Danio rerio: one gene and its partner. The protein of the gene in region 2 interacts with the protein of the main gene of each other region in a pairwise test. Links are inferred from orthologs where the notes say so. Each region holds a gene or a part of one and is shown on either strand. Other genes may lie near its edges.

Evidence for each region.
Region 1: the proteins of ppp1r12a (region 2) and atxn10 interact in binary tests that used the Homo sapiens proteins (3 or more experiments, as listed by UniProt). The link is inferred for Danio rerio from reciprocal best matches to the Homo sapiens genes PPP1R12A and ATXN10.

What each region holds. Positions count from the first base shown.
Region 1 is NC_133179.1:19,331,086-19,335,685, forward strand, and holds the start of atxn10 (ataxin-10), read right to left. Parts: upstream 2,902-4,600; 5' UTR 2,859-2,901; coding exon 2,728-2,858; intron 2,463-2,727; coding exon 2,265-2,462; intron 1-2,264. UniProt on the Homo sapiens protein: May play a role in the regulation of cytokinesis. May play a role in signaling by stimulating protein glycosylation. Induces neuritogenesis by activating the Ras-MAP kinase pathway and is necessary for the survival of cerebellar neurons.
Region 2 is NC_133179.1:22,108,973-22,112,802, forward strand, and holds part of ppp1r12a (protein phosphatase 1 regulatory subunit 12A), read right to left. Parts: intron 1,334-3,830; coding exon 1,217-1,333; intron 1,132-1,216; coding exon 985-1,131; intron 1-984. UniProt on the Homo sapiens protein: Key regulator of protein phosphatase 1C (PPP1C). Mediates binding to myosin. As part of the PPP1C complex, involved in dephosphorylation of PLK1. Capable of inhibiting HIF1AN-dependent suppression of HIF1A activity.

The DNA of each region.
Region 1 (4,600 bases), about 2.8 Mb from region 2:
AGGCAAATATAATAAAATTATATAAGGATCAATGAGGACAATATTGACATTTATCATTTGACTCTTTTTAATAGGTCTGTGCAATTAATCCGAAAAACAGTTTCATTTTTGATTTTGGCATCCAGAAATTATGAAAAATCTGAAAAAAAAAATTCTATTGCAAAACAAAAACGTTCTTGCAGTGAAGACAATGTGTTGTTGTGAATTGTCCCCGTTAAAGAAATTTTATTTCAAACTATGACTTCAAGTGTATGTACAAAGTAGGGCTGCTTGAGATTATGGCAGAAGTCATATTCATCAATGTTGTAATCAAGATTATTTAACATAATTTGTCATTATATATATATATACAACAATTTTTCTGTAAAGTAAAACTGTTTTAAAATCAGTTGATTCACTTTATAAACAGACACCTATTGCCCTATCATGCACCCGGCACAATGTGGCACAAGGCGCGGCGCAATAGTCGTTTTGAGGCGTTGCGCTACGCTGTTTAAATAGCAAATGCATTAGCACTCATATGTGCGGCCATAGGCGTTCTGGTCTAAAAAGGAAGGCGTTCTGAGGTGTACCGCTGGCGCGTCGCTATTTTGAGAAACTAAAATAGATTTTTCAGTAGACCAAAACAAACCCGGTCTAAACTCCGGCGCAGAGTTGCGCCTCGCTTACGCACTGCTTAATACGCACAAGAGAGCAATAGGCAAATATCTTTACATATGAAAAAAATTTAATATTAAGGATATATATATATATATATATATATATATATATATATATATATATATATATATATATATATGATATAATAAGAATAGATATAGGATATAATTATAAAGGATTAAAATATTACAAAACATACTATTTTCTAGCCTACATAAATATGAAAAATCACTGCTTTTATGCCTTCTTCATCTCAGGAGGCTTTTTCAGTTCATTCATAACAATTTGCTTTTGTATAATGTTATTATTATTAGCAGTATTATTTATTATATCCATATTTATATTTGTTTTATTAAAAACAAGCTTAGATTAGCCCACCTGTCAGGTTTTAGACCATATGGGGCACAGCATGTGTTTTAGGATATAACTCAGGTTTTCGAGCACACTTTGTTATTATTGTTCATTTATTCGTTTGCTGGAAATTAGAACTGAATTTAGAAACAGTTTTGAAACTATTATTTGCGCTTAACAAACGCAATTAATTATTTATAGACTAATTGATGTCTATGCGCAAAGGTTTCCCTATCCACGAGCGAAAGTGAAAATACATCCATTATCTCTCATTCTTACGGAGTAGATGCTCTATTTAACAGTTTTCTGTTAAAAAAACTGTTAACTGTTTGCTTGTGAAATGCAAATTTTTTCCACTTAGACTTACTTTACGTCCTGTAAATAGCGAATGCGCTTATGGCGCGACGCAGCTGGCTCTTAAAGGGAATGGGAGATGATACTCTAATTGGTTTATTCTCAAAACACACCTATAACTCATAAAGAATATAAACTCAACCCTTTTAGACTATGCGCCACGACGCAAAGCGGATTTTCCTGTCCTTAATTTAGCAAAACTGTGTTCTGACACGCCCTGAAAGCGTTTGCGCCCTGCGTTTTGCGCTCTGCGCATGGACCGTCAAAATAGAGCCCCTAAAGTATTTGATCAAAAGAGTATTATAAGGTATCATCACTGTAATATTATACAAAAACAGTATTTATTGAGCTCTGATAATATGAATTATTTGGCTGTTGCTTGTAGGATTTGTAAAATTTTAAATGGATTTGCTCCACCTTCATTATGTGAGTTTGTGACACAGACGAGGAATAATGGTAGAGCAACATGATATATGACTAGAGGAGACTGAGCTGTGCAGTTTAGACTTACAACTTTTGCACGTCAGTCTTCTCAGTTAGAGCCAGTCATTTCTGGAATAAACATCCTATTGATTTAAGGGGTATTACAAATTGTTTAACATTCAAATACAAGTTAAAGAAATGGCTAAAAGCAAATCAAGTTCGTAATCATGTGTAATTCTTTTCTTTAGCTTTTTATGGCATTCTTGTTCTGTCTTTTTTAATGCATGTAATTTACTGTTATTGTACGTGTAATAAAGCTGGTTTTAGGTTGCCTTTTTAAAATCTGGCATGGTTCAACAGATGAAAATTAGCCCTTATGGCTAACTCTGGCTTATTTACAGTTTTACTACTGATTAATGAGAATTGTCCCTGTTAAAGAAATTTCATTTCAAACTATGAGAGGTCTCAGACATTACCTCAGACTGCACTGGTTTTGAGTGCATTGCACGCAGGCATTTCTGTGCGCTCTGAAACACTCTGCTGTGAGTTTAAAGCACAGAGATGATGCTTCTCCCTCCTGTGATTCTGTCTCATCTGTCAAACGTTGGACATCCACAGAAAGCCTTGACAGCACCGCAGAGAGATTTCCAAAAACCTCCCTGTCAACACTGCCTCTGAAACATGACAATAATGACACCAGACAAAGCTTAGTCAGTTTTCAATAAGAGGAACGTTTTACAGCAGCTTTCTCCACAAGCAATTATTGCATGTTTATTATTTGAAAACACACTGCTGGTTTGTTTAAGTGGCTAAGGGGATGATTCAGATATGATACAGAAAAAAATGGTAATACATATGATCATCATAATGCATAAGAATCGACTTCAGCACAAAATAACACGTTTCTGTTCATCTTGTGAACTGGGAAGTGTGTGGTACCTGAACTGCTCATCTCTGAAAGCGCTCGTCAGGGTTTGTAAAGCTTCGAGATGCGTGTTTGTAAGTTTTTCACAGGTTATTTCACTAAGTGTGTTGTTTATGTTCTGCATGCTGTCACCGGAGCCTGCCATAATCAACACGCGCGCGCGAGTAAATGCAGACCCCAACTTCCGTCTACCGGCTACACTGGTTTTCAAAATAAAAGCTCGTGTTATTTCGATTATGTAAATGTGATAACAACATAAACATAACAATCCAAATGTATTAAATGGTAATTGTTTTTTCCCCATTTTATTCTTAATGTCTATAGAAGGAAACGTTCATATATAAATATATGCAACATTTTATTATCCTCTCTGAAATATGGTGTGCTTAAAATTCTCTGTAAAAACCTTTAAATCTAATGTCGAAAAGTGTTAGAAATTAATGAAAGTTAGCACATATAAAACGAAGCAAAATTTTTCAAATACAAAAGTTATTGAATTTTGTGAAAGACAATTTTAGACAGAGGAATGTGACAAAAATGTTATTTTTAGCAAATGATGAAGCAAACATGTAAAAGCACTTACTTTAAATCTTCAACATCAAGTATCCAGGCTAAAAATTGTATATTTTCTTAGTTTTTATAGTTCAAACAATCCTATCCTATCCTTGTATTGATATCTTGCTAGAATAAGTAAGTGATTACCAAAATTACACATAAATAGCTATAAAAGAGAAGGATCATGGAAAAGTGAGGGAACAGAGAAATTTTGTTTTAATTTTATTTGCTGTTAATTCATTTATTTCACCCCTATTTTGGTACCATGAGCTGACACTATCTAAATTAACCTGCTACATAATGTGTGCTGGTACCACATTTTGTACCAGTTTTTAATTTGTTGTTACATATTGTAAGCTATTGTAAGTTATATATAACTAATATATATAACTAATATCACACGAGTAGCCGGATATAGTCAGATATAGAGCAATATCGCACTGCTACTCGTGTGATATTGCGTTTATACAACAGTTTGACAACATAATTGTGTATATAAAAACAAAATCAAACATGGAGAGTCTTAAAAACCCTTTTGTATGAGGAACTACTTTCTTCTGGATTTAAATCATAAGCTGACAGTTAAACAGTTGAGCGTGTATGTGGGCGGAGTACTACACAAAGGGTAAAGAGGCTGTAGGAGTTCTGATATTGCAGAATATCGCACGGCTATCAGCCAATCAGATTTGAGAACCAGACAGAACTGTTGTATAAATATATATATATATATATATATATATATATATATATATATATATATATATATATATATATATATATATATATATATATATATATATATATACATACACATATATATATACATATATATATACACATATATATATACATATATATATATATATATACAAACACAGAGTCTAAAACCCTTTTGTACGAGGAACAACTTTCTTCTACCATTCATTCCCATCTGCAGCTGACGTCAAAACAGCAGAAGTCGTTACTAATTCACCAATGTTACTTGAGAGCTGGTTTTTGAATCATTCTCTCGCATAATGTCTAAAGTGATGACAAACCAGGCGATTTTGCTCACATTATAAGGTTGAATGGCATAAACACCATCAGTCTACAAACATTTTCAAATATTTCGGTTGCAATCGGGAGATCATAATAATTATCCCTGGGAAAGCCAAAGCAGCGCAAACACTACCAGATTACTGTTGTGTTTGTGATAAGGAAAATGCTAAACACATGCGGGCATTTCTTCTTTCTTTCTGTTAACTGAACTAGTCTGCAGTAACGAAATCAGGAGACTCATTAAAAACAAACAGATGGCCAACCAAAAAGTATCTCAGGGTTATACAAAGAGTG
Region 2 (3,830 bases):
AAATGAAACAAAAAAACAAATAATAAAGTACACAAAATATGTACCAAAAAACTCCAGACAACAAACAAAACAAAAAAACTATACCAAAAAACTAAATAAAAATAATAAAGCATGAATTAAAATAAAAAAAAACAAAGCACTAATAAACAACCAAAAACAAAAAGGAATCAAACAGACAGACAAATAAACAAATAAAAAATAAAAAATAACATGTATAGCAAAAAACACCACTAAATACACAAAATAAATCCCAAAGAAACTAACTAAAAATAACAAAACATAAATTAAAGTTAAAGCAACCAAACAAACCAAAAAAATGTAAAATAAATATAAAATATTTACCAAATAAAGCACCACAAAAAGCTAGTCAAAAACCCCCCCAAAACAAATTAAAATTAAAACAAACAAACAAACAAAGACAAAACACACAACATACACCTAAAAATATATATAAAAACAAACAAACAAACAAACAATAAATATTAGGTCAAATAAAGTGATTTCTAGTTAATCAGAGCATCCCTAAAGGCTGGTTTAAACATCTGCACTAATCGATTGCATTTATACTTCTGCGGGCAGGCTGTGTTGTTCTGCAATAACACCTCTGAAATGCTAGCTGGAGTGGGAACCAGCGGACGAGCAACAACATTTATTATAAGGTAAACACAAAACAAAAGTTTCCATCTGAAGCTCCTTCACAGGACTCGACACTTGTAAACACTCACTTCTCCAAGCTCGCAGCACTCTGCACCACCCACAATTGTCACCGCTACCAAGCAGATCAATCATAGAGCTTGCGGTATGCATTGCTGTGACGTGTAGTTACATTTTATGAGAGGTTCACGTGAGCATAAGCGTTAGCCTTGGCAAGGGCTATGCGACTGCACAAAATCTGCCGCAGAGCATACATGTGCGATTGATGCAAAAGTCTAAATCAGCCTTAACTGAAAGCATCAGAATCATCCGTGATAATGTGTGGTGTACCTGCGTCTCTCTCGCCCGTCAGAGCCCAGGACAGTTCCAGTGGTGGATGTGGTAGTGGTGGTGCCTGCAGTGTTGATTGTAGGGATAACGGTTGCCGACTCTTTCTCCTTCTCTTTCTCCTTCTCTGCGCTCTCCTCTGCCCAATACCTGTTACACATCCACACATTTCATTACCACACCAGACTCTGAGTGTTTACTGTCAATGTTGTGTTATAGAGAAGTGTGTTTGTACCGGGACAGCAGGCTGCGGTGTCCTGTAGGTGAGGTAACAGAGGAGGTGGTGGTGGTCGTTGTTGTGGACGAGGAAGTAGAACTCAAAGGATCTTCATGTCTTCTTCCAAATGAGCCGCTTTGGAGAAACCCAGATAATAATGATGGGAATAAGTACGGTTCAAAGTCAGAGAGAGAGAGAGTGTGTGTGAGAGAGAGAGAGTAAGAGACACACAAGAGAACCACAAGAGAGTTCCCACGCTCTTAACTAATACATAAAAAAACACAAAAACAAAATCCACAAACACCAAGCAAAGAAACATAACACAACACAAAGAAAATAAAATAAAACAAGAACAAGGTTCTAATAGTTTTATATTTTTCATTAGTTTTAGTTTTTATTTAATTTTGACTATTTAGTTTCAAGTTTTAATTAGTTTTTAGAAGTATTTTTACTAGTTTTTATTAGTTTCTATGTTTTGAAATTGCTTAGTTTTAGTTGAGTTTTTATTAGTTTCACTATTCATTTTATTTGTTGTTGCTTTTTCTAAAAAAGGATATTTGTTAGGTGCAAGATTCAAAATCATCAAAATAAGTACTGTATTATAAAAACTCAACAAAGGATACATTTTTGAAACAGAGGACACATGAACACTACCATCTACCCATGCTGAAATTCAAATTCAACAGCCTATGAAATAGCAGCCCTAAGCACAATATGTGTGCAAGGCTGCCTCTGAGGTTAGATGCACACAGTAGTGTTGGGAAGTTCGAATCTTTAACGTGAATCAGATCTTTTGCGACAATCCTCCCATGTTAGGGCTCAACATATCAAAAATACATAGTCAGTAATCATAATTTAAGTCAGTTAAAACATCATCATGTTCTGAAAAGTTTCTTACAATTAAGTTTTGCAACCCAACTAAAGCATGATTCACTTATTTAGATTCCATTACGATTGTCTGTTATGAAATAAACTTACGTTTTGCTGGATCAGAGAGGGGTCTGGATGTAGACCTGGTGCAGTGCAATCTGAGCTGCATCCAATGGATTTTAATGTGCTCACCTAACCCCACACACCTATCCCTACCCCTCACAGTGACCTTAACAGCTCCATTGAGTGCATTGTGTCTTACATGGCATCTCTAAGATATGCAATCTCAGCTTGCATCCAGATACTATTGCCAAACTCTCTTATTGACCTTGGTAAACCCGCGCTACAGTTGTTCAAGTTTACTTCAGTCACAGCAGGCAGTCGTTTACTGTTTGTGTTCAGTTCACCTGCTGAATTATGCATGTGCAGTATTATCAATTCACTGGTTCTCAAATCTGATTTCTGTGTACTGTTCAAATAACTGAATAATCCAGAGAAACTGGTTTATTTTGAGTCAGAGTGGGGTATCCGGGATGTTAAAAAGTAAGCAGTTAGTAAATAAGTGCTTACTGGAAAGGCAAATTGTTTTAAATGATTCAGTTCAATTTAGTGAAATAGTTTCACCGGTTCTCTTAGAGCAGGGATGTCCAAACTCGGTCCTGGATGGCAGGTGTCCTGCAGATTTTAGCTCCAATTTGCATCAACACACCTGCAAGGTTGTTTCTAGAAAGCTTAGAAAGAGCTTGATTAGCTAGCCCAGGTGTGTCTGAATGGGGTTGGAACTAAACTTAGCAGGACACCGGCCCTTCAGGACTGAGTTTGGACACCCCTGACTTAGAAGATCTGATTAGAAAGAATGATTTGTTTGTTATTAGGCAGAAATAAAACCCTTTATTGGGCACAAATGTGTTAAAATTAATACTTTTAAGTCTCTCCCATGGTCATATTTAATGCTTTCACTGTGCTGCTGTCATGTCCACTTGTTGTTTTTGTCACGGGAGGACTGGAGGAGAACAGGCAGGTCTGGCCAATGACATAAAGATTACAGAATCTGGGGTGTCGCACAGGTCAACACCAAGCAGCGAGAAGCAAATAAATTTATTTCTAAAAGGCTTACATAAGGCTTATGTATTAAATGTATTTACAAAGATGAAAACGAAAGACATTTTGCTATAATCTTAGTTAGCTTCAGTTGGTTTTGTATATACACAATACAGTTTCAGTTAGATCTAGTTTTTTTTGTTTTAAACTCATTTTTATTTTTATTTCAGTTAACAAAAATGTTTTTAAATTTTAGTTTTTGTTTTTTCGCTCATTTTCGTTAACTGTAATAACCTTAAACAAAAACAAAGCAAAAATAGAGCCAAACTAACAAAAACAAAACCAAACACAATCAAAAAAACAAATGAAACATAGCAAAATAAAGAAATATATCCAAACCTAACAAAAAACTAAATGAAGAAACAACAACAAAGCATCAACAACAAAAAACAAACCAACTCAAACTAAGGGAAACAAACTGCACAATAAATAGATAACAATAACAAAAAAGTAAACTAAAATCAAATGTAAAAAAGAAGAACAAAAAAAAAGAAAATATATATGTATATAAAGAAGAAACAGCAACATCTATAAAACATAAAATTGAATAAAAAAAATTATATTCTTTTGGCAAAGTCCGCCAGTGCCAGCACAATAAATAACACAAATACAACAACAACAAAAACACTATAAACTGAAATCAAACTCAACTCCCCCAAAA